2 linked regions of the Anolis sagrei genome follow. The protein of the gene in region 2 purifies or fractionates together with the protein of the main gene of each other region. This does not show direct contact. Links are inferred from orthologs where the notes say so. Each region holds a gene or a part of one and is shown on either strand. Other genes may lie near its edges.

Region 1 (3,749 bases), on a different chromosome or scaffold from region 2:
AGAGGCATTTCTCCTGACGTTTCGCCTGCATCTATGGCAAGCATCCTCACTACCTCTGAGGATGCTTGCCATAGATGTAGGCGAAACGTCAGGAGAAATGCCTCTAGAACATGGCTCTATGGCCCGAAAAAACCCACAAGAACCTAACTTCCTGACTGTGAGAGCCGTTCAGCAGTGGAACTCTCTGCTGCGGAGTGTGGTGGAGGCTCCTTCTTTGGAAGCTTTTAAACAGAGGCTGGATGGCCATCTGTCAAGGGTGATTTGAATGCAATATTCCTGCTTCTTGGCAAAATGGGGTTGGACTGGATGGCCCATGAGGTCTCTTCCAACTCTTTGATTCTATGATTCTATGAACGTTACATTTTTATTTATATAGATTATTATTATTATTATCTCAGGTCTGGGCAAACTTCGGCCCTCAGAGTGTTTTGGACTCATAAGCGACTGAGAGGGAAAAGGAAAGGGCCTGAGGCTGTTAGGAATGGTGGGAGTTGATCTGTTAATCCCACAAACGAATGGGGGGACGATGCCTGGCTCGAGAGCAGTATGAGGAGCGGCTGGAATATTGTGTCCAATTCTGGGCACCACAACTCAAGAGAGATATTGACAAGCTGGAATGTGTCCAGAGGAGGGAGACTAAAATGATCAAGGGTCTGGAGAACAAGCCTATGAGGAGTGGCTTAAGGAGTTGGGCATGTTTCGCATGAAGAAGAGAAGGCTGAGAGGGGATATGATAGCCATGTATAAATATGTGAGAGGAAGCCACAGGGAGGAGGGAGCAAGCTTGTTTTCTGCTTCCTTGGAGACTAGGATGCGGAACAATGGCTTCAAACTACAAGAAAGGAGATTCCATCTGAACATGAGGAAGAACTTCCTGTCTGTGAGAGCCGTTCAGCAGTGGAACTCTCTGCCCCAGAGTGTGGTGGAGGCTCCTTCTTTGGAAGCTTTTAAACAGAGGCTGGATGGCCATCTGTCAGGGGTGCTTTGAATGCAATATTCCTGCTTCTTAGCAGAATGGGGTTGGACTGGATGGCCCATGAGGTCTTTTCCAACTCTTTGAGTCTATAAGTAGTTTCTACTATAAGAACCGTTAAGCAGTGAAATAGATTGCCTCAGAAAGTGGTGGACTCTTTCTATTTGGAATAATTAAATCATAGGATCTTACAATTGGAAGGGACCACAAGGGCTATGCCAGTGCAACTCACTGCTGTGCAAGAATACATAACTATAGTGTGCCTAAAAGATGGCCATACCACCTCTGCTTAAAGACACCTGAAGATGAAAAGTCCATTGCTCTCCAAAGCAGCCTGTTTCCCTGTTGAACAGCTCTCATAATCACGAAGTTATTTCTAAAATTTAGGTAGAATTTCTTTCTTGGCAGAATGGGGTTGGACTGGATGGCCCATGAGTTCTCTTCGAACTCTGATTCTATGAACGTTACATTTTTATTTATATAATTATAATTACTATTATTATCTCAGGTCTGGGCAAACTTCGGCCCTCAGAGTGTTTTGGACTCATAAGCGGCTGAGAGGGAAAAGGAAAGGTCCTGAGGCTGTTAGGAATGGTGGGAGTTGAAGTCCAAAACACTCTCGGGGGCCGAAGTTTGCCCAAGCCTGCTCTCTCTGATATTATGAATCACAAGGCGATTCGAAGAGATATGAAAAAGGGAAGCAGGAAAGCGGCGGCGTCGTCACTGCGCGCGGAGGCCTAGGCCGCGGCCTCGCAGGCGAATCCCAGCGGGCCCCACCCTCCCTCTGGCGGCGGAGGAGGAGGAAGAAGGACGAGGCCGGCCGGCGGGTGAGGGAAACCAGGCCCCGCCGCGGATTATAAAGCCACAGGCCCTCACCAAGCAAGCAAGCCAAGCCCTCTCTCTTAACCCCCTCCTTCCCTCCTTCCCTCAGGAGAGAGCGGCGCTACTCTACCTCCAGGTCGCGGCCTTTGTTCTTGAAGTTCTTCAGCCGTTGGTTGTCCGCCTTTTCGTTGTCGGCCATGGCGGCAGGAAGGTAGGGAGCGAGGCCTTCCTCCCTCCCCGGCCGGGCCCCCGCTTCTCCTTCTCTGTCGTCGCCTTGCTTCGAAGGGGCCTTGAGGAGGCCTTGAGGCCTATCTTCGCCTCTTCCGCCTCTGGTGCCGGTAGAGCGAGAGAGAGGAAGGAAGGAAGGAAGGGAAGGAAGGAAGGGAAGCAGCGGCCCAGCCTCGCGCGCAGTCAGGCGCCCCTAGCCACGCCCCCTTGCCCCTTAGCCCCGCCTCTTCCCGCCCACAGCGCGCTCTGATTGGGCAGCGCTCCGTGATGGAGAGGGGCGAAGGGAGGGAGAGGTGCGCGTGAGCCGAGAGGGGGCGGGGCCTAAAGGGACTTCCTCTTCAGCCCGTCTCAGGCGATAGGCCTGGGCCGCCATTTTGGGCCAGTCGCCAAGGAGACCTCCTCGAAAGCTGCGCTCCCGTCTCGTTTAGGAAGGAAGGCCGGCCTTGTCCAACACCTACTCTCAGGAAGGTGGGATACGTACAGTTTAGTATAGTGTACCTCAGGCATGAGCTAACTTGGGCCCTCCAGGTGTTTTGGACTTCAACTCCCACAATTCCGGTAGGGTGTTCTACACTATAGAATTAATGCTATGGTATTCTTGTCTCCTGTGCTATGCTAATGTTATAATATAGTGTAATAAAATATATTGTATATGCATGTGCCGTTACGCCCAGACGCTTTAAAATAAAACTTTGACGTGCTGCTATCTATGTCTGGGCGAAACTGCTGGGGTCTTTTTTTGGGCAGATTGAGCTTTCTTGAATAACTGAGTCCACTTCAAGAAACATTAAACAGGGTATTTATTCACGAAGTCCTGGTAGACTTGGCTCAGCTTATCAATATTACAAAACAATCAATGAGTAATAAACTCAATCTATATTAACAATCAAGGTGAAAGAAGAAAGCGCAAAAGCTGGGTTGCAGCGAAACAAAAAAAACCAAGATTATGGCAACAAGAATGATTCACAACTGGAAAATAGAGGGAGAAAATGTGGAGGCCGTGACAGACTTTGTATTTCTAGGCGCAAAGATTACTGCAGATGCAGAGTGCAGCCAGGAAATCAGGAGACGCTTACTTCTTGGGAGGAGATCAATGTCCAGTCTCGATAAAATCGTAAAGAGCAGAGACATCAGACTGGCAACAAAGATCCGCCTAGTCAAAGCCATGGTATTCCCTGTAGTAACCTACGGATGTGAGAGCTGGACCTTAGGGAAGGCTGAGCGAAGGAAGATCGATGCTTTTGAGCTGTGGTGTTGGAGGAAAGTGCTGAGAGTGCCTTGGACTGCGAGAAGATCCAACCAGTCCATCCTCCAGGAAATAAAGCCCGGCTGCTCACTGGAGGGAAGGATACTAAAGACAAAGTTGAAGTACTTTGGCCGCATCATGAGGAGACAGCAAAGCCTAGAGAAGACAATTATGCTGGGGAAAGTGGAAGGCAAAAGGAAGAGGGGCCGACCAAGGGCAAGAAGGATGGATGGCATCCTTGAAGTGACTAGACTGACCTTGAAGGAGCTGGGGGTGGTGACGGCCGACAGGGAGCTCTGGCGTGGGCTGGTCCATGAGGTCACAAAGAGTCGGAGACAGATGACTGAACGAATGAACAACAACAACAACAATGTGTGAAAAAGATCTTGGAGTCCTCATGGACAACAAGTTAAACATGAACCAACAATGTGATGTGGCGGCAAAAAAAGCCAATCGGATTTTGACCTGCATCAATAGGAG
Region 2 (3,749 bases):
CTGTGTATATGTGCTTTGTGTGTGTGTATATATTTGTGTAATAATAATAATAATAATAATACTTTATTTGTACCCCGCTACCATCTCCCCAAGGGACTCAGTGTGGCTTACATGAGGCCAAGCCCACAGCACATCAATAAACAAAAGCAATAACAAATAATCAATACAAACAGTTGAAATAAAACTCAAAAACAAAAAAACACACAATAAGCAATTGTGTATATATGTGTGTTTGTGTATATATGTGGTTTTGTGCATGAATTGAAATGTATTTTTTTATTTTGTTGGCTTTTTAAGTCTCTTCTGCTGTGTTTTTTTTTTAGTGTTTTTATGCGTGATGGTCACTCGTTGGCCTGAGAGATGTATTGTGTCCAAAATTGGTGTCAATTCGTCCAGTGGTTTTTGAGTTATTATTATTATTATTATTATTATTATTATTAACTTTATTTGTACCCCGCTAGCATCTCCCGGAGGACTCGATGCGGCTTACACAGGCCGAAGCCTCAAAACACAATACAATAGAGAATGTAACATCACAACAACAAAGCAAATCAAACAATAAGCAAAATAACATAACACTAGGCAATACTAAGCAATACTAAGCAAATCAAACAATAAGCAAAATAACAACAGTGGCAGTACATCAAGACATTATTAAAAACTGGATCGGCCGGCGCACTGTTATGTAAAAAAGTTATGTTAATCCCACAAACGAACAGAGCATTTTTATTTATATAGATTACATGTAATCTTACTAAAAATATTCCAATATAATGGTATAGTACAATATAGTAATATTGAATACTGATATTGTACTATGCTAATAATATAATATATTGTATGTATATATATCTTGTAAGCCGCTCTGAGTCCCCTTCGGAGTGAGAAGGGTGGCATATAAATGTTGTAAATAAATAAATCGTCAACGACTTAAATCTAGAAATAGTTTTCTAAGTTCTACAGAGACACTCACTGGAACACCTCAGCAAGTGAGAGTCCAAAAGTGGCAGGCTCAAACCCAGAACCTCAACCAATGGCTGACACCAAATGAGAGACTCCCCCCTGGGAACACAGAAAACTGGGCGACTTGGAAGGCACTGAACAGACTGCGCCCTGGCACCACAAGATGCAGAGCCAACCTCAAGAAATGGGGCTACAGGGTGGAATCCACGACATGCGAGTGTGGAGGAGAGCAAACTACAGACCACCTGCTGCAATGCAACCTGAGCCCTGCCACATGCACAATGGAGGACCTTCTTGCAGCAACACCAGAAGCACTCCAAGTGGCCAGATACTGATCAAAGGAGATTGAATCAACTATCAAACTCACAAATTTTGTATTTTGTCTGTTTGTTTGCTTTGTTCTGTTAGAAATGTAATATAATTGACTGGTTGCCCTGACACGACAAATATTTATTATTTATTATTATTTATTTACCTTACTTATATACCGCTGTTCTCAGCCCGAAGGCGACTCACAGCGGTTCACAACAAATACAAACAGCGAAAATTCAGTGCTACAGTATAGAAACAGTAACAACCTAACACATTACACAATTAATAAACAGTTACTACAATACCCATTCACTGTCGTCTCGTCATCAAAAACATGTTCCAGATTCGTCATCCATTGTTCCATTCCAGTGTTCATTAACCAATCATTGCACTAATTATTCGAACACCTGCTCAAACAGCCAGGTCTTCACTTTTTTTGCGGAATACCATTAGAGATGGTGCTAGTCTAATGTCTGTAGGAAGGGCGTTCCACAGCCGAGGAGCCACCACCGAGAAGGCCCTATCTCTCGTCCCCGCCAGCCATGATTGAGAAGCAGGCCCTGCTCTCGATCCCGCCTGCTTCTCAAGCATGGCTGGCGGGGACGAGAGATAGGGCCTTCTCGGTGGTGGCTCCTCGGCTATGGAACGCCCTTCCTACGGACATTAGACTAGTACCATCTCTAATGGTATTCCGCAAAAAAGTGAAGACCTGGTGGGTTCATAGGCAGAGATGCGGTTGGATAGGTAGCTTGGGCCGGGACCGTTTAGGGCTTTATTTATCTTGTCAGCTGCTCTGAGTCCCCTTTGGGGTGAGAAGGGCGGCATATAAATGTTGTAAATAAATACATTTCTCTAGAACTCCATAACTTCTAATTTCCAAAACACATCTCTCCAAACACATCTCTTCAAACATACAAAGTAGAGAGAGTCTGAGTGCAAAGATGAAATGCAGAAGACTTCAGCAAAGGCATGCAACCTGAAGAGTATCAATTCTACACCACCAATCAGGATGGGAGCAGAAAAAGATAGAGAGAGAACAGAAAGATACAATCCAACTGCCTTTCAGGAGTCAGGGGGGAAGCCTATTCTAAAACTAACTGTTCCTCATTGAGGACTGCAGACTTGGGCAGTGTGGGGGTTGAATTCCAACACTGCCAATCAGGAGAAAGGCCTACCCGCCTCCTCTCTCCCACTCAGAAGGAAATACCTGTGATTCCAAACAAAACAGATGGCGCAGGAAGATCCTCTCACAATAGATAGGCCGCACTGTTCCCTCTTTAACTCTGAGCCGATTCCTTCCTTACACAAAAATGGATTCAGGAAATCGTTTGGAATTCGCGCTAGTCCCGCCCTAAAGAAAAAACCGGCCAATGGGAGGAAGGCACGGGAAACAGCCGTTAGCCAACACGCCTGCGCAGTGTGAAGACAGAGCACGGAGGGAAGTACCGCGCACGCGCACTACTTCCGAAGGCTCTTCCGAGGCACTGTATACGAAATGTTGTGGAGGAGTGGTTCACAAGACGGATAGCGCATGCGCAGAAGGAAAGAAGCGAGTCGTGCGTGTTTCAAATCTAGCGCATGCGCCATCGCGAAGGAGGGTCGGCTCTTGAGTTCGATTGGGTTCTCTCGTCGAGAAGGAGCCATCGATTGTTTCGGGGCTCGGCTTTTGTGGGCTGGATGGTTGGTTGTTTGGAAGCAAGGGATCTGTGATGCCCAAGTAGACTCTGATCATGTGCAGAGTGCTTCTAAAGAAACCCTAAAAGGACAGAAGGGATGCAGCCGTGTTAAGCAATTAAGCCTTCCCAGGGGTTGATTTCAGACAGGAAAGTAACTTCCACAACACAGTGAAGTGGCTCACTCCCAGGTAAGTGTGGCTGCCAGTAGAGATGTCCTGATGGTTTCCATTGAAGCAGGTGTGTTTCAGTTACCTGGATTGTGCTCAGAATTAAGCTTTCATAGAATCCTAGAGTTGGAAGGGACCTCATGGGCCATCCAGTCCAACTCCCTGCCAAAAAGCAGGAATATTGCATTCAAATCACCCCTGACAGATGGCCATCCAGCCTCTGTTTAAAAGCCTCCAAAGAAGGAGCCTCCACCACACTCCGGGGCAGAGAGTTCCACTGCTGAACAGCTCTCACAGTCAGGAAGTTCTTCCTCATGTTCAGATGGAATCTCCTTTCTTGTAGTTTGAAGCCATTGTTGCACTGTGCCGTAGTCTCCAGAAAACAAGCTTACTCCCTCCTCTCTATGACTTCCTCTCACATATTTATACATGGCTATCATGTCTCCTCTCAGCCTTCTCTTTTTCAGGCTAAACATGCCCAGCTTCTTAAGCCGCTCCTCATAGGGCTTGTTCTCCAGACCCTTGATCATTTTAGTCGCCCTCCTCTGGACACATTCCAGCTTGTCAATATCTCTCTTGAATTGTGGTGCCCAGAATTGGACACAATATTCCAGGTGTGGTCTAACCAAAG

Evidence for each region. The genes of interacting proteins can lie anywhere in the genome.
Region 1: the proteins of KIF22 (region 2) and KPNA4 purify together in Homo sapiens (affinity purification with mass spectrometry; 3 studies listed by BioGRID and IntAct, counting the BioPlex papers as one, with this or other methods). This does not show direct contact. The link is inferred for Anolis sagrei from reciprocal best matches to the Homo sapiens genes KIF22 and KPNA4.

What each region holds. Positions count from the first base shown.
Region 1 is NC_090023.1:246,815,971-246,819,719, forward strand, and holds the start of KPNA4 (importin subunit alpha-3), read right to left. Parts: upstream 2,235-3,749; 5' UTR 1,995-2,234; coding exon 1,926-1,994; intron 1-1,925. UniProt on the Homo sapiens protein: Functions in nuclear protein import as an adapter protein for nuclear receptor KPNB1. Binds specifically and directly to substrates containing either a simple or bipartite NLS motif.
Region 2 is NC_090026.1:17,135,645-17,139,393, reverse strand, and holds the start of KIF22 (kinesin-like protein KIF22), read right to left. Parts: upstream 2,625-3,749; 5' UTR 2,483-2,624; intron 1-2,482. UniProt on the Homo sapiens protein: Kinesin family member that is involved in spindle formation and the movements of chromosomes during mitosis and meiosis. Binds to microtubules and to DNA. Plays a role in congression of laterally attached chromosomes in NDC80-depleted cells.